Macaca fascicularis: one gene and its partners. The protein of the gene in region 1 interacts with the protein of each later gene in a pairwise test. Links are inferred from orthologs where the notes say so. Each region holds a gene or a part of one and is shown in the gene's direction. Other genes may lie near its edges.

Region 1 (3,161 bases):
AATTCTATTTTAGCTTGCCTGGGTTCTATACTGTGATCTCATTTGCCTCGACTATGATGGAAACATTTTGGATGCCTGCACATTTGCTTTGTTAGCGGCTTTAAAAAATGGTAAGCAGCCTTACAAAAACGACAATATTCCCACTAATGGGTTAGAATGTTCTGTTTTGTGAAACTTTTAATGTACATTTGCTTTCGTATGCTTCCAAATTAATGAATGTAATACTGCCATTACTTTCCAAATATAGTTGATAGTTGTATATTCTCTAACTGAATGCTCTTTAGAGTGCTGCTTTGACTGTACCCGTCTACTTAGGTTAGGACTTCAGTCCTTTCCATAATAGTGTTAATAATGGTGGGAGAGGGAGACAAGACTTGTAACTTCTGGCTAGGTCATTGGTGAAGATCTGCCAGTATCCTCATAGTTCTTTATGTGATATTGCCAAAAGAATTAGAATGGATTCTGTTCTTTTTACTGTGAGGCCATAGTAATAGTGAAGTTTCTTAGCAAGGAGTCTAGGTTGACTGATTAGTTACAGATTTCAATAACTTGTGCATATTCCCTATCATTGGTGAATGATGAATTGGTAGGAACAAATAATTGGAGGTGGAAAATAAAGTTAGCACAGCAATATTATAATAGAGTGGTTAAGTGAATTGGAGGTAGAAAATGAAGTTAGCACAATATTGTAACAGAGTGGTTAAAGCAGAGACTTAGGTTTGATTCCTGGCTCTGTCACTCTGTGCTGAAGTTTCCTTATCTATAATAAAATAGGGATAATAGTATTTAGTTTCTAAGAGTATTGATTAGGTGAATACAGTGAAAATGTGGAAATGCGTAAAACAGTACCTGGCATATACAAATTAGCTAGACATGTTATCTATTAGTAATCATTTTCATTTCAAAACTGGGTACAGTGGCACATGCCTATAGTCCCACCCAGCTACTGGGGAGGTTGAGGTGGGAAGATTGCTAGGAATTTAGTTCTAGCCTGGGCAACAAAACAAGACCCGATCTCTAAAAATTTAAAAAAAAATCATTTTGACTTCTTAAACTTAAAAAAATTATGCAATAAGCACTAGGTAGGCATGTCAGATGTTGTGAAGAGCAATGTATATCCTCTGTATTTACCTTAGTGGCTGTAAGGTGCTTTTTAAAAAGAAATGTTCTGGGCAAGTTCAATCGAGGGAAAGGTGAATTAAAAAAAAAAAAAAAAAGCTTAGAAACCATTTGTTTCTTAGAGACTTACTTTACAAATTTGCCTTTTCTTAGTACAGTTGCCTGAAGTTACTATAAATGAAGAAACTGCTTTAGCAGAAGTTAATTTAAAGAAGAAAAGTTATTTGAATATTAGAACTCATCCAGTTGCAACTTCCTTTGCTGTGTTTGATGAGTAAGTTAATCAAACTTACTTTAAAATTTTCTATATTTAAGATTTGGGTAATTGATGTTCAGCATTCTAACTCTTCAGGAAGTGCTATGAGTCTGACTCTACATCCTAGTTTTCCCTGGACACTTGAGTTTATACTTGTCCCTGCACAATTATTTATAGTCAACCTGTCTGCTTTCATAAGCATCCTGATTTGGATGATAATTGTGTTCACTTTACCTGTTCCTTGGTTTACTTATACCTGTGTAATGTTAATTTCTAATTCTTTCACTAAAGATTTACCTGAAGCTATCTTCAGTATTTTCCAAGGATTTTAGCACATTCAGAAATAGTAGAGCAGGGCGAGGCATGGTGGGTCATGCCTGTAATGCCAGCACTTTGGGAGGCTGAGGCAGGGTATCACCTGAGGTCAGGAGTTCGAGACCAGCCTGGCCAAGTCGGTGAAACCCTGTCTCTACTAAAAATACAAAAATTAGCTAGGTGTGATGGTGTGTACCTGTAATTCCAGCTACTTGGGAGGCTGACAGTATGTTTAGTATTTTTAAAGTAAAATTTGTTCCATGGATTGATAACTTATACTTTTTTCTTTTTATAGCACTTTGCTTATAGTTGACCCTACTGGAGAGGAGGAACATCTGGCAACAGGAACCTTAACAATAGTAATGGATGAGGAAGGCAAGCTCTGTTGTCTTCACAAACCAGGCATGTTCCTGCCACTTCAGTCCTAAACATATGTAGATGAAAACTCAGTGTGAGCCTTAAATTAGGGAGGGCCAAATGGAATATGGGATATTTCATTTACCTAATTTAAGTTTACTGTAGTTTCTTAGCTACCTCAAATTTTCTTCCATCTTAATGGTATACGTCAGTGATTCTTAAACTTAAGACATACATTAGAATCACTTGGAGGTCTTGTGAAACTAACTTGCAGATCTTGAGACTGTACCCTGATTTATGTTATCCAATTTTTTTATTTCATAATTTGATATGACATTAATGTTTTTTGAAAAGCAGTGATAGATTTAAAGTATTGGCAAAATAATTTTTCAGGTGGAAGCGGGCTAACTGGAGCTAAACTTCAGGACTGCATGAGCCGAGCAGTTACAAGACACAAAGAAGTTAAAAAATTGATGGATGAAGTAATTAAGAGTATGAAACCCAAATAAATAGCCACTTTTCAAAACAGATTTGTAAAAATTGTATTTGTTAACACTGTGCACAAACATTTTATACTAAATAAATATCAAACTACATTCTTCTGAAAGATGTTTCTATTATTTCTTAGGTCACTTCCATATAATGTATAGTGAAACCATTTTTAAAAAGCAATGACTTAGGCAAACCAACCCTAGTTTGTTAAACCATTTCCCTGTTTTTATTTAAAAATGATAAGGTTGTGCTTCTGTATAAAGTTTGTACATCTAGCAATGTAAAAGACTGACACATTAAAAAAACAAAAAGTAGAAACTCAATCCTTTTGATTCAATGCTCTTGTGTTTTTAAAAAAGGAACAAAAAATAATGCAAGACTCAGAATTTTGGACTGGTTGGCGTGCCTCTCTTCATTTTACTTTTTGACTGGCTGCCTGTATGCCGATGACGATGTAGCTGAGCTGTTTGTGCTGCTGCTGCTGCCATAGCCATTTGATGCTGCAAGAATCGCAACTGCTGCAAAAGGGAGGGAAAAAAATCGAGTTATGTTAAATGCAGGCAGGTGTGGAAAGGTGCTTTTCCTGAGAGTGACGAAACAACACAACTGAAAAAGGGAGAAA
Region 2 (3,523 bases), on another chromosome or scaffold:
ATATATCACCTGCGTGTGCCTCTGTTAGTAGTGCCCAAGCTGATATTTCACGTCTGCTTTAAAGTGCAAAATAGATTAGGACTCCCTGCAGTCTCGTTCTAAACAGTATACTTCTGTATTTAATGTAGGCAGTCCAGGGACTTCTTAGTTATTTTAGTGGCCACATTACACTGTTAAATCATATTAGAATTTTCAGTCCAATTCAGAGCTGTAAAGAGTCAATCGAGTATTGGGCATGGGTAGTTACTGTCCTACCTGCCTTTGAACAAATAATGCATTAATTACTTGGCATGACATACTAATCACCTTTATTGATTAACTCTGTAAAATTTTTATTTTTTTAAATTGTCAAAACTTGTATAGGTGCTCCTTGATTTACAATTGGTTGTGTCTCAATAAACCTGTATTATAAGTCAAAAATGCATTTAATACACCTCACTTACCAAATAGCGCAACTGAGCCTGCTTTAAATGTGCTCAGAAAACTTCCGTTAGTCTACAGTTGGGCAAAATCTTACACAAAGCCTATTTTTATACTACAGCGTTGAATATCTCATATAATTCAAGTAGCATTGAATATACTTCTGAAAGTGAAAAACAGGTTGTGGCCGGGCACAGTAGCTTATGCCTGTAATCCCAGCACTTTGGGAAGCCAGGGGAGGTGAATCACTTGAGGTCAGGAGTTCAAGACCAGTCTGGTCAACATAGTGAAACCCCATCTCTACAAAAAAAGTACAAAAATTAGCTGGGCGTGGTGGTGTGCGCCTGTAGTCCCAGATACTCGGGAGGCTGAGGCACGAGAATTGCTTGAACCCATGAGGCGAAGGCTGCAGCGAGCTGAGACTGGACCACTGCACTCTAGCCAGGGCAACAGAGTGAGACTCCATCTCAAAATAAAGGAAAAACAGGGCCAGGCACAGTGGCTTATGCCTGTAATCCCAGCATTTTGGGAGGCCGAGGCGGGCAGATCACAAGGTCAAGAGATCGAGACCATCCTGGCCAACATAGTAAAACTCCATCTCTATTAAAAATACAAAAATTGGCCGGGCGCGGTGGCTCAAGCCTGTAATCCCAGCACTTTGGGAGGCCGAGACGGGCGGATCACGAGTTCAGGAGATCGAGACCATCCTGGCTAACACGGTGAAACCCCGTCTCTACTAAAATACAAAAAAAATTAGCCGGGCGAGGTGGCGGGCGCCTGTACTCCCAGCTACTCGGGAGGCTGAGGCAGGAGAATGGCGTGAACCTGGGAGGCGGGGCTTGCAGTGAGCTGAGATCCGGCCACTGCACTCCAGCCTGGGCAACAGAGCTAGACTCCGTCTCAAAAAAAAAAAAATACAAAAATACAAAAATTAGCTGGGCATGGTGGTGCGTGCCTGTAGTCCCAACTACTTGGGAGGCTGAGGCAGGAGAATTGCTTGAACCCAGGAGTCAGGCTGCAATAAGCCGAGATCACACCACTGCACTCAAGCCTGACAACAGAGCAAGACACTCTGTCTCCAAAAAAAAAAAGAAAAAGAAAAACAGGTTGTAAGTGTACTTGAAATGTGGTTTCTACTAAATGCAAATCACTTTCACACCATTGTGAACTCAAAAAATTATAAGTCAAACTGTCTTACATTGGGGACCAGCTATATATTTATCACATACGACATGATATTTTGATAGATACATTGATCTATTCTTATATATATATATTTTCTTACACAAATGTCTCTGGATACATCTCTTTAAAATGTTAGGGAATTAGGCTGGGTGCGGTGGCTCACACCTATAATCCCAGCACTTTGGGAGGCTGAGGCAGGTGGATCACTTGAGGTCAGGATTTCAAGACCAGGCTGGCCAACCGGGTGAAACCCCATCTCTACTAAAAATACAAAAATTAGCCAGGTGTGGTGGTGCACACCTATAATCCCAGCTACTCGGGAGGCTGAGACAGGAGAATCGCTTGAACCTGGGAGGCAGAGGTTGCAGTGAGCCTTATTCAGAACTGTAAAGAGTTGCAGTGAGCCGAGATCATGCCGCTGCACTCCAGCCTGGGTGACAGAGTGATACTCCGTGTTAAATCAATAAAATGTTAGGTAATTAACTCTACCTCAAAAGGAAAAATGCTTTACTAGTACCGCTTCTACTTTTAGGGTATTTTACTGGATGAAGCCTCAGGTGTAAACAAGAATCAGCAGCCTGTCCTCCCTGCCGGCTTGCAGGTCCCCAAAACGGTAGTGTCCAGCTGGAACCGTAAGGTGAGGGCTTTTCAGATTAACTGGCTCTTGATGTCAGCTTCATAATAGGGATTTTGCTCATTCTGACATGCATTTCTGTTCTAATTTATTAGAGAACTGGCCACTGCCTTCTTTAGTTTGTTCTCATAAACACACACAACCTAATTATACCCTCTTCTCCACTTTCTGGAGACCTCTACATGCACGTACATTCTTAAGTGAATGGCCCTTGCGATGTTCTTGTCTCCTTGGAAGTCATAAATTGGAATTTACTTTTCTAATTCATCAAGTTGCTGTGTTATAAAGTATTTGTATGCGTTGATCATAGGCAGCAGAATATGGCAAAAAAGCAAAATCTGAAACTTTCCGGCTGCTTCATGCAAAAAATATCATCCGACCTCAGCTCAAGTTTCGAGAGAAGATTGACAATTCCAACACACCATTTCTTCCTAAAATCTTCATCAAACCCAATGCTCAGAAACCTCTCCCTCAAGGTAAATAGTGCATACTTTGCCTGTGTTTGAGTCTTACTTTATTTGATGCAAAAACCAGGAAGGGTGTACAGGTCTCTCTGCCACCCTCCTTTCTTCAAAGGGAGCCCAGTTCAGCTATTCCAGAGGCTGAAGTGGGAGGATCACTTGAGCCCAGGAGGTCAAGGCTACAGTGAGCTGTGACTGTGCCACCACACTTCAGCCTGGGGGAAGGAACATGACCCTGTCTCAAAAAAAACAGAACACAAAGGGAGTCAGTTTACCCCTGTGTAACTAGAAAAGACACGAATGTGCTTATGATGTTTTTGTCACTGCTTGGGTCTCCAGCTCTCTCTAAGGAAAGGCGGGAACGCCCACAGGATCGTCCTGAGGACTTGGACGTCCCCCCTGCACTGGCTGATTTCATCCATCAGCAGAGAACCCAGCAGGTTGAGCAAGACATGTAAGTGTTTGCCTATGTCTGACCTTTCTGCTGTGAGTACTTACCTTTATGCCACATTTTCACAGTTTCACTTTTGTGGAGATATACATGAAAACAATCTGAGGAGCAGTGATTTCCTCCTTACCCCAACCTGGGCCTTAGCAATAAAACCTGCTGTTTGTGTTCACAAAGGGCCTGCACAGCATTGCCTCATAAACCTCACTGCAGTCCTGAGAAGTAGCAGTGATTCTCATTCCCATTTTATAGACGTAAAACGCAAGGGCTGGGTGCGGTAGCTCACACCTGTAATCCCAGCACTTTGGGAGGCTGAGACCGGTGGATCACCTGAGGTCAGGGGTTCAGGACCAGCCTAGCCAACATGATGAAACC
Region 3 (4,082 bases), on another chromosome or scaffold:
ACTATATTTTTCTAAACGTGATTTCAAAGTGTTTCTTTGCTACAACAAGTAAATTTGAGGCAGGGACATTTTTTTCATTTGGGTAACCATGACGTTTGTATTCTCTAAAAGAAGCATCATTTGAGATAGAATAAACATTAAGAAATCAATTACGCTCCTAGGAGAGTGAATATGAGACTGATTGCTTGCACTGAAAATACTGAAAAGTGTCTAAAGTAGTTTTTAAAAAACTTATGTCGTTGGACCCTCACCACCTGGCCTGCCTTGCCCCCATTCCAACGTATTTGACTACATGTCTAAACCTACAGTAAGGCTCCCTTTTCTTCTCCCTCTCCTCCACCATAGCCTAAAGACTGAATTAGTGTTATGATTAACCATGTATTTAAATAAGGACACCGCATGTTGTATTTTAGCAAAAAAAAATTCTGGTGCAACAGAAGCATGCTGGATAAATTCTGGGTTCTAAAGCATAATTTGACTTTGTCAATTCTCTGTCATTCATCATCGGAGGGTGGCAGGTTGAGCTGAAGCCTCGAGCACTGGTGGAAGCCATGGCCAGTCCAGTTAGCATGTTATCAAGCAATTACAAGACGAATTTTTTAAGAAGGAAAAAAAAAAAAAAAACAAAAAAACCCTAACGTCTTCCGACAGTGACATGCCTCTGAGATGGGGTGCTCAGCTACAGCGACAGGGTAAACAAAAATGTCTTTGGCAAAGCCTTCATCTTGCCGTAGTACGTGAGCTGTACTTCTAATTTCTAATAGGAATCAGCAGTCCACGGTTGATTTATGGGCAGAGTGTGTCGTCCCGCACCGTGCCAGTTCCCGGAGCCTCCGCCAATTAGCTCTATTTTCTGCTTAAGCCGTTAAAGCCACCTCCATGGAAACGCCAGGAGGGCAGGCCGGGGGGAAGGGAGCAGATAGGTGCGCCCTCTGGAAAGAAATACACAAAGGGCCGACACTGCGCCGCCGTGTCCCTGGCAACTCCACGCCAGCCCAGCGCGCGCGTTTCCCGCCGCGCAGCGGCAGGGTTGGCGGGCGGCGCGCGCTGCTCGCCCCACGTCGGCTGGCAGAGCCCCTCGGCCTGCTCGCGGACGCGGCGCCAGAGCAGCGCGAAGTCCGCTTGGGGCGGTGGCGGCGGCGCCCGCGCTGTAGGGACTTGTAGTCCGCGCGCCTCCCGGGTGCCTCCCCCGGGTAGGCCGGCCCGCGCGTCCCCGCCTGCCGCAAGCCGACTTCCTGCGGCTGCCAAGACTACACCTCCCGCCGTCCTCTCCGCTGTCGGGCCGAAAGCGAAAACAAATTCTGGGCTGCGAGGTGCTGTTCTCTCCCGGGCGCCCCCACCCGCTCCCCGCCCCTCCGGCGTCCTCCAGCGAGGTGGGGAAACGAAAGGCCGCGTCTTTCTTTTTTGGTTTCCTCGGCTCCCGGCGTGGGGAGTGCGCGGGGGACGCAGGCCTCGCTTCACCTGAGCCGGCCCAGCGTGCGCGCCAGGGGCGGGGGTTTTCTCGCTTCACACCGGTACGGACGAGGAAACTTGTGGGGGCGGCGACCCCCGGCCTGGGTCCTGAGTCAGCCAGCGAGGCCGTCGGGAAGTGACTGCTCACTCTCGGGGTTTTCCTTAATCCCGCTCCTCCCGTTTGTTGTGGGCGCGTGTTCGCTCTGAGGAGGCGGCCGCGTGCGGACAGCCATGCATTAGGCAGGGCTCCCCTATGCGCCCGGAGAGCGCGGAACGCTGCCTCGGGCCGCCGCCGCCTGCCGCCGCTCGCGGAGCCCGAGCCCCAGCCCGAGCCGCCGCCTGCCCCAGGCCGGGGCGTCGAGCTGCCGGCGGCCTGGCCATGTGGGGCTAGCCCTTGCCGCGCCTGGCCTGTAGCAGGACCAGCAACATGGAGGCGGCCGTCGGCGTCCCCGACGGCGGGGACCAGGGTGGCGCGGGGCCCCGCGAGGACGCGACGCCCATGGACGCCTATCTGCGGAAACTGGGCTTGTATCGGAAACTGGTCGCCAAGGACGGGTCGTGCCTGTTCCGGGCAGTGGCGGAGCAGGTAATTGCGGGGGGGGGGGGGTGGTGCGAGGGGAGGCGGGGACGGCCCGGCGGGTCTGGGTGGGGAGGCAGCTGCGGGCTGTCCGGGCCGCCCACGGCCGGGGCTGCGCGTGCCCTCGCTGTCGTCACAGCGCCCCATTGTAACGCCGGAGTGGGACGCTGCTTTGCGTCTGAAAGGTGCAAATTGAAACTTCAAAGCTCGCAAATTAACGGGGTGTCTCTCTCCTGATGAAGAGGTAATGGATTGAGGACAACTTGTGAGGCCTGCTCGGAGCTTGTACAGTTGATTTATTGCTGGGGACCTGGCGACATGATATTTTTCACTTCTGTTCCGCATTCACCTTCCATCCCTTCGTTTAAGAAGCACCACGCTCACCCCACTCCAGTAAAACAAGTGTTTACTAGAAGTGGTGGATCAAACTTTACTTGTGGAATATATTTTGGTTTGCTGCTGGACTTTGAAATGTGGGGTAGGCAAGCTTGCCCATGTCACTTGAATGAAATGGGCAAAATGCCGTTTGAGAAAACCAACCTTTTACAAATACAGAATATTTTGAAGGATTTGTCTTTGAGTAGGTTCCACCCTTTATTATGGTCTGCTGGGCTGTGTAGGTATACTAAACAGAACTGACTTTTTTTTAAAAAAAAAGCCTGTTTTGATGTTGGTAGTAGAAAGGGTACGTGTAACTGGAGCTTTTCAAAACCACTTTCTAACACAGTTGCTCAGGAAGATTTTTCTGATTTTTTTTTTTGAGCGAGCTTATTCCATGTTATGTAACACTGTGTTGTAGGTGTACTGTCACCAAAACCCATCCTGTATTGAAAAATAGCTGCCGAAGTAGCTGGATAAAAGTTTCTGCTCTGGTGTGTCTTTCAGACCTTTCACATGTGCTTTCGTTTGACCTAGGACCTGCTCCCCACACCCCATCGCACACCGCTCCCTACCCCCCTGTGGGGTTTTTATGATGTTTCTGTTTTCTTTTCCCTCACCTCTTTTGAATGCTAAATAACTTTTAAAATTTCTATTTGTGAGTAAATCTTTTACTTAACATCTGGAGGCCAGTCTGTTTTCTTGTTTTTAAACATTAAAAGGCAAGCCATTTATTTGCCATAGGGAGTAAAATCTTTCTTTAAAACAAATTGATTTAACGGACACAAACTGTTGCTTTATGTTGTGGACATTGTCATTGAAACATTCTTCCAGAAGCTCCCCAAACCAGGCTCTGTCCGTTAGACTTTTCTCTATTTCAATGTTGCTGTGAGGTATGTTAACACCCACCCACTCCCTCCAGTCCTTATTAGTAGTAGGTAAATAGTCTGCCCCATTTGTGAATTTTCTGAGTCTGTATCTGTCTTGCTTCCTTGAACTCCTCAGCACCTCCAGAAGCTAGGGAAGAGGTGGAAGTGAATTCAGCCCATATTTATTACGTACTGTTAGACCTAGCAAGAGTTTGGTAAGCGAGGAGGTAGAAGTAAATGGCGGTAAGGGAAGCTTGGAATTTACTTGGATTTGAGTTATCTGAGTCCTAGTTTATATTGAAGCAGAAAGGTGTGCCTGATTTCCGTAGTGCATACCATAGATACTTGGTGGCCTTGATTATACAGAAACCTCTCTGTTATTGTAGTGGGATCTCTGTTTTTAACTGGAAAGGGGGCAAGAGCTAGTTTACACTAAGAACTCTTTGTTACATCAGGTAACACATTTTATTGTATTTTGTAATGGGGCTTAGGTTAGGCATAAGGGACTACCCTTCCCAGTTATGTGACTCCGTTTTAGTCTGATGAGCTTAGCTCAAGACCTTGAACTTTGGGAGAAGTTCAGTAGACTACAGGTATAGCCATCATCGCCAAAGGCAAAGTGTGTGTGTGTGGGAAAGAGGAAGTAATACCAACGTCAGGCTTCCCTTTTAAAATAAGTACCAAGGATTTATATTTTTGCCAACAATTTCTCCTATAAAATCACAAATATTCATCATTTCTAAGAAGGAATCAGAGTAAATAATCTAAGTGGCAGTTTTTAAAGAGGGGAGGAGACTTGAGTTAGG
Region 4 (4,282 bases), on another chromosome or scaffold:
CAGGCTGGAGTGCAATGGCGCGATGTCGGCTCACTGCAACCTCCGCCTCCCGAGTTCCAGTGATTCTTCTGCCTTAGTCTCCTGAGTAGGTGGGATTTCAGGCTGTGCCACCACACCTGGCTTTTTTATTTTTTATTTTTTATTTTTTTAATTTCAGTAGAGACGGAGTTTCTCCGTGTTGGCCAGGCTGGTCTCAACCTCCTGACCTCAGGTGATCCACCCGCTTCGGCCTCCCAAAGTGCTGGGATTACAGGCGTGAGCCACCGTCACTGGCCTCTTACCCAGTTTCTGTACGGAGCTCCTGATGCCTGATGGCCAAGAGGACTTAACCCCATCTGTTCTAAGGGCATGGAGTGTATTTTTAGAGTGATTGGACAAATATGTGCCGAACACCTACCTCATGCCTGGCGCATGCTGGAGGCTGGGGTTGTATCAATGCAAAAGTCATTCCCTGTATTTAACACTTAAATGAATTAGTCTCTTTAACTCTCCCAACGCCCTATAAATTATTTGCTCCATAATACATATTAGGAAGACAGAGGCAGAGAGATGAAGTGCTTTGCTCGTGACGGTCACGCCGCCACCGGTCACGCCGCCACCGGGACGCGAGCCAGGCAGTCGTCCGGCTCTCACCCCCAAGAGCACTACATTATAAGGTCGCAAAGTGAAGACACGCTGTCATTAACTGAGCTGCTGTGTGAGGCCGGGGACGGACATATCTTTCTGAAGCACAGAGAAGCGGTTATACAGGGAAGTTTGGGAGAACTGGGTTAAGTCCGCATGTATGGAAATTGCCAGTTTCGTGGGTCACAACGTCAATATTGTGGGCAACCTTGGACTGACTCAATGCGCAGTTGGAGACAGCGATGAAGTGCAGAGCGTCCTCAGCCGGTGACTAGACTCCCTAGGAACTGGCGGCGTTGGCGGGAGAAGAAAACAGGAATGAGAACGCACCCACCGTGTGCCGGAAAGAAATAGAAATTGTGCCACCCCGCGCCCAGTCTACTTTTCAGATGTAAAGGGTTCGGGCAGATCGCAACTCCCAGGCATCCCGCAAAGTAGGCGGGTCACCTTAGGGGCGACCTTTACCCGCTCAAAAATTCGTCTCACATTAGCAGTGAGGATTCGGGCGTCACCCCGAATCGTTATTTTCCTTACTCATAAGTTTAAGGCATAAAGAAACAGTACCGCTTATTTCCTAGGTAATGAATCATATTCTCATTTGGCGTATGATGAGTATCATAGTTGACCGTTGAGGTAATGATCCACTTCCATTGAAGTTTGTCTTACTCGTTAATGAAATTATTTTGTTGCTTTTCATTTAATGTTTTTTCGTCGGAGAGAATAAATAATTCATAATGTGCCGACCTTCTGTATGCAGATGAGCAGCCAGCTCCGCGAAGGCTCACGGGGAGCGTCCCCGCCCCTTCCGGTTCTTGCTTGCGTTTAGCTGGCTGTCGCGAGAGTTGGTCGGCGGACGTCGGAAGTAGTTCGTCGCTCTGTAGCGGCCGAAGGGGCGGGCTCGCGGGCTGGGGGTGTCTCGGCTGCTTTCGGCTCGCTCGGCGGAGCAAGATGGCGGACATCTCCCTGGACGAACTCATCAGGAAGCGCGGGGCGGTGGCGAAAGGACGGTGAGAGACCTTTCTTTTCTTCGGGGTTTCGGGTCCGCGGCATAGTGGAGCTCGAGGCGGGGGAGGGAGCGGCCCGGGCGCGACGCGGAGGACCGGGTGCGCCCGCCCCCAACAGCAGCCGCGCTCCTCATTGGCCGGGCCGCCGCCGTCGCCGCAGCGGCCCCGACCGCCCGCCCACTGGCCGAGGTGCAGTCCCTCCGGCGGGCCTGGGAGGCCGACGGGGCCGCGGCGGGACAGGGTGCCGCCTCGTGGACCTGAGGGGCTGCACCCTAGGGCCCCCGCGTTCCGGGGTCCGGGAGTCTCGGCGGTGCAGCCCCCTGGCCTGTCTGGACTGGCATTTGGGCCCCGCTCCGTGATCTCGGGGCTGCTTGGTCTCCACCTATCTTATAGTTGAGGCAACCGAAGTTTAGCAGCAGGGAAGTGACTTGCTCCGACGGCCGAAGCTGAGGCGCAAGCCCAAACCCCGGTCCACGCGGCCTCTGTTAACACTCGCCTCCCTTTGTGCGGCGTCTTAAGTTTTCTAAGCCTGTTCGTATAAACGATGCCTCGTTTGATCTTTCACGGGCCTGTTGTCTGCTAGCAATTCGTGTTACTCCACTTTTACTGATGGGGAACTTGAGGCTGGGAGTGGTAGAGTGACTTGCCCGAGACCACGGAGAACTGAGCGGCGGGGCTGAGTGCGATTTAATTGCTGGCTGAGTTGGCCTCCTGCATGGGCTTGAAAAACAAGTGGGCTGGGCTGGAGATTGGTTATTTCCTTAGGGAGAAGAAAGTGCTTGAGCTGGGTGAGGAGCCATGGAGGTGATTTGCAGTCATGTCTCCCAAACTTCCCCATGACCGTTAAATGTTATTAGTCATTTCAAGTCTTTGTGAGCTGAGTTCACCTGTATGAAGAAGTGAGAACTTTGCCCAATAGTTTCCCAACACGCATTAAGTTTAAGTGTCTTTGTAAATAGCCAGGATGTAAATATGTTAGATACTGTTTTCTCAGACATATGTTTTCTCAGCAGATGTTTATTTTTATTTATTTTTTGAGACGGAGTGTTGCTCCGTCGCCCAGGCTGGAGTGCAGTGGTGCGGTCTCGGCTCACTGCAACCTCCGCCTCCCCGGTTCCAGCGATTCTCCTGCCTCAGCCTCCCGAGTAACTGGGACTACAGGTGTACACCACCACGCCTGGCTAATTTTTGTATTTTTAGTAGAGACGGAGGTTTCACTATGTTGGTCATGCTGGTTTCGAACTCCTGACCTCATGTGATCTACCCGCCTCGGCCTCCTAAAGTGCTGGGATTACAGGCGTGAGCCACAGGCCCGGCCATTCAGCGGATGTTTATTCATATCACCCGTGTGCCTGTGGCTAGGTTTTTCTCTTGATGTCTGAAATGTATCCCTCACCTCCTTCCCCATCTGGACACTTGTATCAACTACAACTGCCACCACCACCTGGTAATTCGCAGCCAGCACTTACCGGGCTTCTGGTTCATAACGGGCATGCATTAGGATTTGTTTCCTCAGCTACTGACTGCGAAAGCTTTCTCACATCTCCGCCTAGTGTCTGATGTGAAGTTGGCGCTGGCTCCTCTGGCCACTTCTAAATCCATCCAGGTTTTGTAGGTTCCTTTGGAAACGACAGAATGATCGACACCAGGTTCTTCTCTCTCTGAGGTCACTCCCCCAGTTTCTGACTACAGGTGGACCGCACTGTAGTCTATTTGATCTGTACGGTTTTGGCTTTAGTGTGTGCAGAGTTTTGTGTTGGGCAGTAGGTGGGGCTGCAGGAATGGGGTGAGGGGTATGTGTGGATCCACAGGAACAGGGGCCTTGCAGTTGGATATACCTGGCACGTGAAACAGTTGGGTTCTGTTTCCCTGGCCAGGGGACTTCTAAACTAGGCAGTTTCCTCATTTGTAATGGTGATTCCTGGTTGAAGGAATTAAATGTGAGAGAGGTTTTTTTTGGTTTTTTTGGTTTTTTGTTTGAGACGGAGTCTCGCTCTGTCGCCTGGGCTGGAGTGCAGTGGCCGGATCTCAGCTCACTGCAAGCTCCGCCTCCCGGGTTTACGCCATTCTCCTGCCTCAGCCTCCCCAATAACTGGGACTACAGGCGCCCGCCACCTCGCCCGTCTAATTTTTTGTGTTTTCTAGTAGAGACGGGGTTTCACGGTGTTAGCCAGGATGGTCCTGATCTGCTGACCTCGTGATCCGACCGTCTCGGCCTCCCAAAGTGCTGGGATTACAGGCTTGAGCCTCTGCACCCGGCCGGGTTTTTTTTGTTTTTGTTTTGAGATGGAGTCTCACTGTATTGTCCAGGTTGGAGTGCAGTGGCACAGCCTTGGCACACTGCAACCTCTGCCTTCCAGGTTTAAGCGATTCTGCTGCCTCAGCCTCCCAAGTAGCTGAGATTACAGGTGCCTAACACCACACCTGTCTAATTTTTGTATTTTAAGTAGAGATGGGGTTTCACCATGTTGGCCAGGCTGGTCTGGAACTCCTCACCTCAGGTGATCCACCCCCCTCGGCCTCCCAAAGTCCTGGGATTACAGGCATGAGCCACCACAGCCCGCCAGAAGGTATGTTTTAAAGTTTGTGCCATGTGGCAAGTGTTCAGCAAAGGCTGGTAATTATCTTGAACCTTTCCTTAAAGGAATAGAAGC
Region 5 (4,134 bases), about 52 Mb from region 1:
CTGCACAGAGAAGCTAGAGATGTAGATTAACAATTGAGAAGATACAAGTGTTTCTGAGCAGGAAGACACAAAACCATATCTAAAACCAATAGATACAATGTGTTAGCAGTTCCAGAGAAACGAGGTACATTGTCACAAAGATTGGTATGTAAAGTCCCTAGCAAGGACTTTCACTAGATAGTATATCATCTGAGGATGAGAACCAGTGGTGTAATTTTTCTCATAATATAATCTCAGGTTTTCCTTTGATTGTGTTAAACACTCAAAATGCTAAGTCAGTATTCATTGAACACAACTCGATTAAATTCCTCTGCTTAAAACCTCTTTTAAAAAAGCAGATTTGCTCATGGTTTCCAAGTGGTAAGAAATAGCAGATTTGCAGGTGAGATTAAAGGGTATTGGGTAGAATTCTGAGGTTTTCTGCTTTCCGCTTTTCCCCCAGCAAGACTGCCTTTAATAACTCATACATTATTTAACAGAAGGCGCACTAAACAATTTTACTCATATTTCTCTCCATAACCATTTTTGCCTATTGTACTCACTGCCCGCATCACGAGCTCTTAGAATGGTTCCTGGCACAGAGTAGGTGCTCAAAGATCTTTTGTTTGGAGAATGCGTGAATATACATAACATGAAAAAAAAAGCAGTTCTTCTTTTATTGTGGCAAACAATGGTGGTAACAGTTCAAATTTGACTATTTTAGAATAAACACTTAAGTAAACACTTGTCTCCTTAGCAGCTGGCCACTCTACCTCTTAGAGAGAGGGCTTTCTTCTCTTTCTTCTCGGCCTCCTGTCTCCCACCATTTTGTTTGCCTATTACCCATGAGTACATGAGTGGCATCGTCCCAAAGCCTTTCTGTTCCACCTATCCACTTGTCGATTTTCAGAATAAGGATCCCCAGCCTTTAAGTTTTCTATAGGATTCGTTAGTCAGTGAGTATTAAATGCTGTCATGGAGCCTAACAGAGAGCTGGGAAGGAAGCAAACCAGCGGGCCCTAGGTGCACTCCTCAAGGGCCAGCACCTGCAGCTGCTTTTTTGGGAACCCCCTGGCCCCCGCACCTGGCTCAGAGACCCGCGCAGTTCGCTGTCCCAGCAGCTGCAGGAGGTGCCTGTGGCGGGAAAGTTCAGGCCAGGTCCAATCAGGCACCTGAGATTAGGTAGCAAGGGTGGGTGCGGCTCCCTGGCCCCCACCAGGGCTGCCGGCCCCGCCCCCTGGGTGGGCTTCCCCACGGTTCTCCGCCCCCCCCCGCCCCGCCCCCTCGGCGCTCTCGCCCCGCCCCGCCCCGGGGCCGCGGCTAAAACCCGGAGCCGCCGCGACGCCCAGGGGACTGGAGGGACGCACTGAGCATGTGCAGATCAGCTTGGTGGTGGCTGCTGCGGCCGGAGGCGAGGGCCCGGTGCTGATGCGAACCGCCGGCTCGGCCTCAGCCCGCGCGTGGTCGGCCCCCCAGGTTGGGGTGGCAGGGAAGGAGCCGTAGCCTCCCTGTGGCCCGAGGAGCCGGCGCGCCGGCGCGTACTCCCCGGCGGCCGCGGCGCCCTCGGGGCCCAAGATGATGGCGGAGCAGGTGAAATGCGCCTCGGCGGGGGTCAGCTCTGGAGCGGGCTCCGGGCCGGTGGTGAACGCGGAGCTGGAGGTGAAGAAGCTGCAGGAGCTGGTGCGCAAGCTGGAGAAGCAGAACGAGCAGCTGCGGAGTCGAGCGGCCAGCGCGGCCGCCGCCCCGCACCTGCTGCTGCTGCCGCCGCCGCCGCCCGCCGCGCCGCCCCCCGCCGGGGCCTGCAGCCCGTTGGGTCCTCGGAGCCCCCCGGCCGCCACGGTCACAGCCGCGGCCTCAGGGGGCCTGGGGCTCGGGCTGGCTCTGGGCGCGGGGGGCGGTGGCGGTGGCGGCAGCAGCAGTGGCAGCGGCGGTGGCTCCAGTCCCGCGTTCCCGGGCACCTTCTGCCTGCCTAGCCCCGCGCCCTCCCTGCTTTGCAGCCTGGCGCAGCCACCCGAGGCGCCCTTCGTCTACTTCAAGCCGGCAGCGGGCTTCTTCGGCGCGGGCGGTGGCGGGCCGGAGCCGGGGGGCGCGGGGACGCCGCAGGGGGGAGCTGCAGCGCCGCCCTCGCCGGCCCCCACGCTGCTGGACGAGGTGGAACTGCTGGATCTGGAGAGCATAGCCGCCTGGCGGGACGAGGACGACTACACCTGGTACTGCCTGGCTCCGCTCCCTCCCCGAGACCCTGGCCTCGGGGGCTGCGGGCACCGGGGAGCGGGGGCGGGGGCGGACGGGGGGTCCCCTGCGGCTGCCGGCGTGACTCCCCGCCGCTCCTGGAGGGGCCGATCCAGCAGGTGTCGAGCCAGGCGGTGACATTTCCCACGATGAGGCTTCTCACGAAGGCAGAAACCTGTTTTCTAATCGCTCCGACTGCGGATGAACCCCCCCCCCCACCCCGCCTCCCGCCCCCGATCTTGGGTTCTGCTGTTTGCTGATTGTTGGGTCCCAAGCTCCTGGTTAGCATTAAGTGCAAAATCCATGACATCTGGTCCTTTTGCTCCGTGCTGCTCTTTTCCTCAGTGTTTTCGGAGGGATGACGGGGGATGGTAGGGGTTGGTCTCTGTCTGCGACTGTTACTGTTCTTTCGTTTTAAACGAACGATGGACAGGATTTGCGTGCTCTTCCTCCTCGGGTGGCATCGGAAGCCGCGCAGTGATGGATCTCTCTTTACAGAGAGGTTCGTTCTTACTGTTTGAATTTTGCAGTCGTGTGCCCTTTTGCGCTGCATTTTCATTGAAATCTTATTTTCAGAGACTGACTTGTTTTTTAAAATGGGGTGACCTCACTGGCTTTCCCATAAATAGTGCCAATAAAGAGGACTTTTCTTGGAGTGGAATGAACAGGTGGGAGGGGCTTTTTTTTTTTTTAAACCTAGGCACCAAGGAACTGTCTTTAAGTTTTAAAATTAAACTGTAGAAGAAAAGTGAGATTAGAGAAGCCTTATTTTCTTATTTCTTGGAAACTTTTTAGCTTGGTTATCAGAAAACTTGAGGCTGACAGCATTTATTCAGTTGACATCTGGTTAGCACTGTCTACTTTTCATGAATGGGTAACTTTAGGGGGAGGCATCCAATTCCTTTATGATGTATGTTTCTTGCTGCTTGCTCATGGGGTAATAGTCATTTCACGACTCACTTCTTTTGGTTGGTTCCCATTTTCTGTGGTCACCAGATATATAGGATATGTTTCAGATAAGATGGAACTTGGGTTCCTGCAAGGAAAATGAGCAGCATTCACCTCTACATTGCAGAGGCATGAAGAATAGTTTTAGTCCTTCTTTACCTGAGGTCCTTTTTATGTAGGACCCTTTCTGTTTTTGCAAGCTGGGTTTTCATTACTTTCTTTGTGTCTCTGTTGCGTGATTGCATGGAAGGGATTGGGAAATGGAGATCCTTACTGGTTTCCTATTGGGAAGCTTGCCTTACACTCTACCATGTGAGAGCTCTAACTGTAAAGTGCATTAGTTAATTGGTTTGATTCAAGAATCAAAATATATGGAGCTGTAGTAAGCCTTTCAGAGGCGTATTCATCATCCACCTTAACACTTTTTGGCAGCTGTGCAGGTAGCTCAAGGTGTAAAAAAACCAAACAACTCATCACTTTCTGGAACTTTAAGCCATTCTTTCAAAGATGCACCCTTATTTCCATAAAGCCTGGGGTATATTACAATCTCAATTTCAACCTGAATGTGGTACTAGAAAATGCTCTCATGATGGTCCTTAGATTTCACTAATAACTCTCAGCCCTTATGCCACTTTCAAATTATTTTAGGTTGATTTAGTCCTTATTTAGCCTTTTTCTTATGGTATGTATGTAAACAGTGGAAGGAAACTTGTTTCTATTTTTGATGGGGAGCTATATGGGATCAGTTTTATGCTTAAAATATTTGCATTTTAAAATTTATTATGATATTGCTTGTTTATTAGATTAGTAATCTATTAATAACTTTTCTTCTTTTGAATGGATTTCTGTCATATGTAGTTAGCATCCTTCTATTGCTAGTATTTTGGTACCTAGGCTTTTTTTTAATAGTTTAATTTTGTCCGAATAGCATTGAAATAACCAACTTTAACAGAAATCACCTTCTTAGTGGTATTA
Region 6 (4,317 bases), on another chromosome or scaffold:
ACTCACAGGAGGAGGCATCCTCCCAGCCTGTCCCTGTCCACAGAAGCCTAAGGTTCTCTCGTAAGCAGCCCCTAAGCCCAGAACTGTAGGCCCTGAGGGGGCCCGAGGGATCCCCCTTGCCTGGCCCTTCACCCAGGGCCCTGTAAGACCACCACGGCTTGTCTCTACCCAGGAAGCTCGGCCAGGAACACCCCTTTCGACAGGTCCCTCTCCGACAGGCACGGGATGGAGCTCGACTCTACTTCCTTCCCCACATCCCGAGGCGGCCCTCATAGCCTGCACCTTCAGCCACAGGTGCAGAATGCTCTCATGGCCCAGAGATCCCGGGCGACCTTTTCCCTCGCAGCCCCGGGGACTCCTATCTTCGGCCTCCTCCTCCCCAGACCCGGTCACCCACACAGCCCCGGCAGGCCCCACCACCTCGGGCTCCCCAACAGCCCCATTCACCCACACAGCCCCAGGGTCCCTTGCAGCCTCGATGGAGCCTGGGGGGTCAGGAGCTTCCAAAGCCTCATTCGCCCCGGCGGCATCGGCTGTCTCCGCCGCTTGTCTCGTCCCCCGCGGGCGCTGACAGCCCTGCGCCCTTTCTGCACTCACACAGCGCGTCTCCCACTCCAAGGACCTCGCCCGGCGCCTTGCACCACGGCCCCGGGACGTCCCTGCGCCCCGTCTCTTCCCCCACGGCCGCCGAACTCCCCGCCCCGACCTGCTGGGCCCCACGCAGCGACCCGGCATCTTAGCCGCCTGCTCTCCCCGGCGCAGCCTGGGCAAGGCCCCACGGCCAGTCGCCCGGCTCATAGCTCCAGAGCAGTTCCCTTCCTCGATACCGCGGCCCCGGGTTGTCTTAGCACCTCGCTCCCTAAGTTGCTCCACACAGGCACTCACACACTCAGCTCCGGCCTCGCAGCCTTTCTCCCTCCTAGCCCCTCACCCATCCCACCCCCGCCCAGTCTCAGGAACCCGCCCCCAGTCCCAGGCCCCCCTAAAGCCTAGACGGCAGAAAAGGTAATTGGGGGGACAAAACAACAAAGGCTTTCCGAGTCAGATCTCCTCTCCCCCAGGTCCATGACTCAAAGCAGCTTCCCAGAATCCCCCCTAGCCCCATCCCGAGCCCACCTGGCTGGGGCGAGGCGCCGCTACCGGGAAGCGGGCAAGGGGGGCCCCAACTAGGCCGCGCTTCCGGCCGCCCGCCCAGTCGCCATAGCAACAGGCGCAGGGCGGCTTGGGAGCCGTTGAGACGCCGAACTACTGAAGGATCCAGGTGTAGCCAGGCGTTAAGTTTTGCAGCCAGTGTCCATGGGGTCGGAGCTGGGACTAGATTAGGGTAGATGCCTGGGCTTGGGAGTGCAGCGAGCGCAGAAAAATCTGAAACTAGAGCAGAAAGCCATGCGGATGGATTGTGGTCCTCAGAGGCTCCCGTACTCTTCAGCGGCGCTGGCTTCCGCAAGCTCCGCCCTCTCGCCCATCCGGAAACAGCCTCGCCCCGCCCACGTGGGCCCCGCCTGCAGCAGCCAGACGTGCACTCCTCCAGCAGCTGCTGCACGTCGTGCCAATGGCCCGCTACGAGGAGGTGAGCGTGTCCGGCTTCGAGGAGTTCCACCGGGCCGTGGAAGAGCACAATGGCAAGACCATTTTCGCCTACTTTACGGGTTCTAAGGACGCCGGAGGGAAAAGCTGGTGCCCCGACTGCGTGCAGGGTGAGGCCGGGATTCGGGGGCTGCTGTCCAATGGAAATGGCAGGAAGGCCGAACCTACGACCAGAAAGGGGGCTTAGCAGAGGCAGAGTCTTGGTTCCAGACATCCGCGGGACAATCTAAGCTGTCCCCATGTCAACTCCTATTAAATTCTACCCCGTCCTGCCAAGAGCGCTCTTCCTTTTACCATTTAACCCGGATGATCTTGGAATCTAGTTCCTTAAAACTTCTCACTCCCCCAGTACCATTAGAGTCTTACAGGATACGTGAGTTGGTCAGCAAATACATGTGCTTTCCATTGTTATGGGCGCGGTGGTGCGGGGGCAAATCGGGACTGGGATTTGGTCCTTACCCTTAACGTGGCTCTAAGACCAGAAGTGAACACCTGACTTCTGCTGACCGCTTCAGTTAGCTGCAGGTTAAAGTCTGAGTACTTACCAAGACTGGGGGAAGGGGAAAAGAACACTGTTTATCAGTGCCTGATTCTGGAGTTGACGTGCGATTATTTTATCTCAACTTTTTTTAAAGCTGAACCAGTCGTACGAGAGGGGCTGAAGCACATCAGTGAAGGATGTGTGTTCATCTACTGCCAAGTAGGAGAAAAGCCTTAGTAAGTGGCAACGTATAATCTACTTCACAGACATGCACAGATTGCAAACTGAGGCGGGAAGGGCCTCAGGGACACGCACCCAGTTTCTGTGTTATAAGGCAATGTCTCACAACAATTAGAAGCTATTAAATACAAATTTAAAATGCCCACCTGAATTAAGTAAGGGTAATTCAACGAATTTGGTCTGGTGTAAGCTCAGAACTTAGCTGGCTTTACTTTTGTATCTTAGTCACACTTTAAAACTTTGCACAGGGTAATTAACAAATTAAGCCATAGTCCACAAGGTTTTTTAAGTGTTTGCAAGAACAGTGATTACTAAAAAATTAAATGTAGGAATATGTCAAATATTAGGCAAACCGTAATAAACCAAGTAAATTTTTTTCATGATCACTTTTTCTTTTGGAACAGTTGGAAAGATCCAAATAATGACTTCAGAAAAAACTTGAAAGTAACAGCAGTGCCTACACTACTTAAGTATGGAACAGTAAGTATCTTTAAATATGCTGGGCCTGTAATTCACTGTCAAAACTTTTAACTTGCTGTGGATCCAGATTTGAAAAGATCTTGACATGTCATCTCAATTCCATTGCTGTTGAGAGTGCTGCTGAAAGTCCATTCCTATGGCCAATCCCAATACACTAATAATGTAAATATCTAGCTATTAGGTCTTTTTCATGTTAAGTCACTCTTTAAAAATTCTATAGCCAGAAAGTAGGTTGACTCATAATTCCTTAAAACACTGACATCAACAGTTGTTTTCTATTTAATTCATAATTCTGGTTAAAAAGTAAGGGCACCTCTTCTAGTTCAGTCATGCCCCTGGGATCCTAAATTAAAGAGTTGAGGGGAAGAAGAGGGCACTGGGCTTGCTGTTTCCTGTTTTAGTCTGTGGAGCTTCCTGGTATTTGGGGTTTAAGTCTCTTCAGCCAAGTATGTTAGTGATTCATCTTACAGCAAATATCTTGATTCTTTCATAAAACTTGTTATAACTAGTTGATAGTTTCTGAATTGCATAATTTCTGTGTTCAAAGATTAGTGTCATTCAAGGCAGAACCTATTCCACTCCTAATAACGTTTTATAGGAGTAGTGAAGATTTGACTGTTCTTCTCTTACAGCCTCAAAAACTGGTAGAATCTGAGTGTCTTCAGGCCAACCTGGTGGAAATGTTGTTCTCTGAAGATTAAGATTTTATGATGGCAATCATGTCTTGATTTCCTGATTTGTTCTAGTATCAATAAACTGTATATTGCTTTGAATACATGTTAGCAATAAATGAGGTTAAAAAACTGGCATGTGTCTAAACAGTAGAGTGCTATTAAAATGCCCATGAACCTTTAGTTTGCCTGTAATATATGGATATTTTTAAGATATAAACAAGTCTTCAGAAGTAGCAGTAAAGGCTCAAAGGAATGTATCATTGAAGGTGACGGAAATACCTAAAAACTCCTAAAGGCGCAGAGCACACCTTCCAAATCTTTCAAAAGATCAGGATCTTTTATTTTAAATTATCTGCATCTGCAAAGCAACTGATATTCCTGAAACCCCTTCTTTGATTTTGGAACGTAGAACCTAACCTCACCACTGAAGGAAGCATATTACCTCTAATCCAGCCTCTGCTTAATTCAGGCAGTTTTGTTTTGTTCATGAAGAAACCGATCCTGAGCACTAGAGGCAGTTCGTTTTGCGGCTCTCTCAATGTGCTTTACTTGGGATTAGGCAGGTGGCGGAGAGGGGCTGGAAAGACTGTGTAACCCAGTGGTGGGAAGAACTCCAAGCTGGAGTCAGTCACACTGATTCTACCACTTACTAGCTGTGTAACCACAGGCAAGTTACCCGCCCCATCCAAACCTCAGTTTTCTCTTCTGTAAACAAGGTTCTGAGAATAAAATGAGAATTCAAGGAAGCACTTAACATAGCACCTGGTATGTGGTACCTCCCAAATCAATGTTAGTTTTCCCAAATGAGCACAAGTATTTGAGGCTCCTCATGTTTGTTCTAAAGTCAAGAGTCCA
Region 7 (3,393 bases), on another chromosome or scaffold:
CTGGGCTTGGATCACTGTGTCCTTGGCCAAGTTAACCAACTTCTTTAAGCTTCCAATGATTCATGTACAAAAAAGATACAAAAATGCCTTTCACATGTGGTTCTTCCAGAAAGCGCTTGGCACAGGGCCTGGCACATAAACAAATTCAGTAAGGGTTAACTATTTTCATAATTACAGTTAGTCTGCATCACTACAAGCACATTACTCAAATGAGGATATGGACTGGTCAGATGACAGCGGAAACGGTGTTCAGATCTAGGACCCCCCACCTTGTAAGAACAACACTAATCAACTCTAGCCTGCTCAGGGGACAGTGACCCAGAGAACTAGCCTTGAAAAATGAAGAAATATGAAATACTAATAAAAATTAAGAAAACCCACAAGCGTTTAACCCAGATAATATTTGGGGACATGAGGGGGTTATGTGAAGAGAAAACAATGTTCCATTTAACTTTAGGAAATGGCGGTGTTATTAAAGATTTTGGAGGCATTAGTCATCATCCTTTGGTCAAGTTTATTAACCTCTCCAGTGCCTCTGTTTTTTCATCCATAAAATGGGATTCATTAGATCACCTACCTTATAACTGTGGCGATTAAATGAGTATGTGTTAAGTGCTTAGAAGACTATCTGGCGCATAATAAATGCTCAATAAGGCCTGAGGAGCAACCGGATTGACAGAAGTGGGGGTTGACTGTTGGTGCTGGTTATTATTACTATAATTATTACCCTAGGTAAGTTTTTAATAGTTCCAGCAATGAAAAAATGAGAATAGCCTCCTGCGCAGCAGTAATTCCCTCTCACTGGAACAGTTCAAAAAGTCGCTGATAACTACCAGTCAGTCATTAGAGAGCAGACTCCTCGTCCTGGGAGAAAGCCGATTTGTCATCTCTTAAACCCCAGGGCATCCAGCATGAAGGAGGTGGAACTAGGCCGGCCCGCGGGGAGCCAGGGGCAGGCGCTAGTGACGCAATGACTGCAACACGCCGCCAGGGCGCAGCAGAGCCCGACCCCGGGTTGCCCCTTCCGCAGCAAACAATTCCTAACTCGCTCCAGGTCTTCCTTCTTAGCTGAGTGGGTTGAACCACGCGGAAGTAACCCCGCCCATTATGATGAGCCAGCCAATCACCGCGTGACCTGCTCGGGCGGGGCGGTATCGCGGCGCTTCCCTCGGTCGCTCAGAGCCTGGGTTCCGCGTTCCAGCCCCGCCCCAGGGTCTGGGCCAATCCCCGCGGCAGGGTAGAGCGTCCCCGAGGAGGGCGCCCCGCAAACCACGTGGCCCGGGAGGCGCCGAGGCCAGGTAGGCGGTGGGTTACCCAGCTCGGAGCGGGCGAGGAGACGGGTGGGCGGAGCGGGGCTGGCCAGCCTCGCCCCCCATGACCCGCTGTTCTGTGCCCTCTCCCAGCGATGGGCGTGCAGCCCCCCAACTTCTCCTGGGTGCTCCCGGGCCGGCTGGCGGGGCTGGCGCTGCCGCGGCTCCCCGCCCACTACCAGTTCCTGTTGGACCTGGGCGTGCGGCACCTGGTGTCCCTGACAGAGCGCGGGCCCCCTCACAGCGACAGCTGCCCCGGCCTCACCCTGCACCGTCTGCGCATCCCCGACTTCTGCCCGCCGGCCCCTGACCAGATCGACCGCTTCGTGCAGATCGTGGACGAGGCCAACGCACGGGGAGAGGTCAGAGGGCGGAGTCAGCGCAGGGAGGGAGGGGCCTGGAAGGTCATCCGGGGACGCGAGCGGAGCTGGGGAGACCCGGCCTGGAATAACTTAACTGGGCTCGGGGAGGTACTAGGGGCAGACAGTAGGGCCGGGAGACTGGCCGGGAGACTGGGAAGCCAGTGCGGGAGAGGGAGGCGCTAAACGGAAGGAACTAAAGAGAGGGCGAAGCAGTGCGAACTGGGCTTGAGGAGAGGCGGTGAAAACCAGCTAATACTGTGAGTTGAGAAAGAGAAGGGTGTGGACAGACACCTGAGAGAGGTAGGGGGTTGAAGTCAGGTGGAGGCTGTTTACCATTTTTTTTTTAGAGTAAAGCTGCCCAAATATAACGGAACGTAAGTGGCTCCATGTAATGTTAATTTTTCTAGCAACCGCATTCTTAAAAAGCAAAGAAGCGATAAAATTAATTTTGGTGATCTTAATGAGATATTTTCATTCTTTTTTCCACTACCTCTTCATACCCTGTTGCGTTTTTCACACTACATCTCAATTTGGACTAGCCACATTTCAAGTACACAGTAGCCACAGTAGCCGTGGCGAGTGGTTTCTGTATTGAACACCACAGGTGGCGGGCTGTGCGGAGGCGGGCAACTCTTGAACCAGCCACTGCAGAGGCCTCCTAGCCACCCAGTGCAGGGACAGCCCTCCCTGACTTTGCTGCAGAGCCCTGGACCTGGCACAGGAGAAGGAGCTGTGGGGAGAACCAAGTGAGGGACAGGAGACAGTTGGGGCTGGGGGAGTTGGGCGGCACCCATCGAGCTCCCTCTTCATAGGCTGTGGGAGTGCACTGTGCCCTGGGCTTTGGCCGCACTGGCACCATGCTGGCCTGTTACCTGGTAAAGGAGCGGGGCTTGGCTGCAGGAGATGCCATTGCTGAAATCCGACGACTGCGACCCGGCTCCATCGAGACCTATGAGCAGGAGAAAGCAGTCTTCCAGTTCTACCAGCGAACGAAATAAGGGGCCTCAGTACCCTTCTACCGGGCCCTCACTCCCCTGCCCCATGTTGTCGATGGGGTCAGAGATGAAGGGAAGTGGACTAAAGTATTAAACCCTCTAGCTCCCAGTGGCTCAAGACACTGAAGTAGCCCGCCCCTGCAGGCAGGTCTTGATTGAAGGGGAGGCTTGTACTTTTTTGTTGAATAAATGAGTTGTACAAACCAGGGCACGTTGCATGGTACTTTATAAAGCATTCCCACACATCAACTAATTTCAGCCTCACTGTAGCCCTGTGATACAGGAAAGGCAGATGGGCCATGTCTCTTCTTTGGATGAGGTGGCCAAAGCTCAGAGAGGCCCATCATCACACTTCTAGAAAGTGGAAGGATGGGCCAAAACAGCAACACACGTCTTCAATCCCTTGAAGATGCTGAAATACTATGTATCTGTTCCCTGACAATATTCGATGTGTTTTCTGGGGGAGCTAGTCAATAAAAAGGATTCAGGTCCAGAGTAGCCTGGCCTCCTGGCATTGCCAGGTCTCTGATGCTCACAGGCCAGGAGGCCCCTCCGTGTAGGCCCACCTGCTGCACACGTGTCACCCTTGTTTCTCTGGGGGTAGAGACAGCCTGGATGTCACACTCACAGATAACCACCGTCTCTACCTCCTCAGGGCTGGGCATCTCTTACCAACCTCAGGTGCTGCTCAGCTCATCTGGGCTGTCTGGCCTATTCTGCTGCCCC

What was found.
Region 2: the proteins of EXOSC8 (region 1) and EXOSC10 interact in binary tests that used the Homo sapiens proteins (3 or more experiments, as listed by UniProt). The link is inferred for Macaca fascicularis from reciprocal best matches to the Homo sapiens genes EXOSC8 and EXOSC10.
Region 3: the proteins of EXOSC8 (region 1) and OTUD4 interact in binary tests that used the Homo sapiens proteins (3 or more experiments, as listed by UniProt). The two-hybrid records come from large-scale screens. The link is inferred for Macaca fascicularis from reciprocal best matches to the Homo sapiens genes EXOSC8 and OTUD4.
Region 4: the proteins of EXOSC8 (region 1) and POLDIP3 interact in a two-hybrid assay, tested with the Homo sapiens proteins (2 studies listed by BioGRID). The link is inferred for Macaca fascicularis from reciprocal best matches to the Homo sapiens genes EXOSC8 and POLDIP3.
Region 5: the proteins of EXOSC8 (region 1) and SLAIN1 interact in binary tests that used the Homo sapiens proteins (3 or more experiments, as listed by UniProt). The link is inferred for Macaca fascicularis from reciprocal best matches to the Homo sapiens genes EXOSC8 and SLAIN1.
Region 6: the proteins of EXOSC8 (region 1) and TXNDC17 interact in binary tests that used the Homo sapiens proteins (3 or more experiments, as listed by UniProt). The two-hybrid records come from large-scale screens. The link is inferred for Macaca fascicularis from reciprocal best matches to the Homo sapiens genes EXOSC8 and TXNDC17.
Region 7: the proteins of EXOSC8 (region 1) and DUSP23 interact in binary tests that used the Homo sapiens proteins (3 or more experiments, as listed by UniProt). The two-hybrid records come from large-scale screens. The link is inferred for Macaca fascicularis from reciprocal best matches to the Homo sapiens genes EXOSC8 and DUSP23.

The regions. Positions count from the first base shown.
Region 1 is NC_088391.1:16,553,983-16,557,143, forward strand, and holds the end of EXOSC8 (exosome complex component RRP43), read left to right. Parts: intron 1-13; coding exon 14-110; intron 111-1,272; coding exon 1,273-1,393; intron 1,394-1,985; coding exon 1,986-2,092; intron 2,093-2,440; coding exon 2,441-2,556; 3' UTR 2,557-2,654; downstream 2,655-3,161. Other genes in the region: SUPT20H (transcription factor SPT20 homolog), read right to left, coding at 2,920-3,057. UniProt on the Homo sapiens protein: Non-catalytic component of the RNA exosome complex which has 3'->5' exoribonuclease activity and participates in a multitude of cellular RNA processing and degradation events.
Region 2 is NC_088375.1:223,710,578-223,714,100, forward strand, and holds part of EXOSC10 (exosome complex component 10), read left to right. Parts: intron 1-2,137; coding exon 2,138-2,242; intron 2,243-2,549; coding exon 2,550-2,715; intron 2,716-3,039; coding exon 3,040-3,154; intron 3,155-3,523. UniProt on the Homo sapiens protein: Catalytic component of the RNA exosome complex which has 3'->5' exoribonuclease activity and participates in a multitude of cellular RNA processing and degradation events.
Region 3 is NC_088379.1:150,079,084-150,083,165, reverse strand, and holds the start of OTUD4 (OTU domain-containing protein 4), read left to right. Parts: upstream 1-1,261; 5' UTR 1,262-1,879; coding exon 1,880-2,038; intron 2,039-4,082.
Region 4 is NC_088384.1:8,974,599-8,978,880, forward strand, and holds the start of POLDIP3 (polymerase delta-interacting protein 3), read left to right. Parts: upstream 1-1,472; 5' UTR 1,473-1,572; coding exon 1,573-1,631; intron 1,632-4,282. UniProt on the Homo sapiens protein: Is involved in regulation of translation. Is preferentially associated with CBC-bound spliced mRNA-protein complexes during the pioneer round of mRNA translation. Contributes to enhanced translational efficiency of spliced over nonspliced mRNAs.
Region 5 is NC_088391.1:68,708,024-68,712,157, forward strand, and holds the start of SLAIN1 (SLAIN motif-containing protein 1), read left to right. Parts: upstream 1-1,327; 5' UTR 1,328-1,554; coding exon 1,555-2,189; intron 2,190-2,554; exon of another isoform or gene 2,555-2,579; coding exon of another isoform or gene 2,580-2,713; intron 2,714-4,134. UniProt on the Homo sapiens protein: Microtubule plus-end tracking protein that might be involved in the regulation of cytoplasmic microtubule dynamics, microtubule organization and microtubule elongation.
Region 6 is NC_088390.1:6,683,014-6,687,330, forward strand, and holds the start of TXNDC17 (thioredoxin domain-containing protein 17), read left to right. Parts: upstream 1-1,513; 5' UTR 1,514-1,552; coding exon 1,553-1,697; intron 1,698-2,222; coding exon 2,223-2,304; intron 2,305-2,712; coding exon 2,713-2,788; intron 2,789-3,420; coding exon 3,421-3,489; 3' UTR 3,490-4,317. Other genes in the region: uncharacterized protein, read right to left, coding at 1-798. UniProt on the Homo sapiens protein: Disulfide reductase. May participate in various redox reactions through the reversible oxidation of its active center dithiol to a disulfide and catalyze dithiol-disulfide exchange reactions. Modulates TNF-alpha signaling and NF-kappa-B activation.
Region 7 is NC_088375.1:101,284,516-101,287,908, reverse strand, and holds DUSP23 (dual specificity protein phosphatase 23), read left to right. Parts: upstream 1-1,250; 5' UTR 1,251-1,298; intron 1,299-1,403; 5' UTR 1,404-1,405; coding exon 1,406-1,672; intron 1,673-2,484; coding exon 2,485-2,670; 3' UTR 2,671-2,873; downstream 2,874-3,393. UniProt on the Homo sapiens protein: Protein phosphatase that mediates dephosphorylation of proteins phosphorylated on Tyr and Ser/Thr residues. In vitro, it can dephosphorylate p44-ERK1 (MAPK3) but not p54 SAPK-beta (MAPK10) in vitro. Able to enhance activation of JNK and p38 (MAPK14).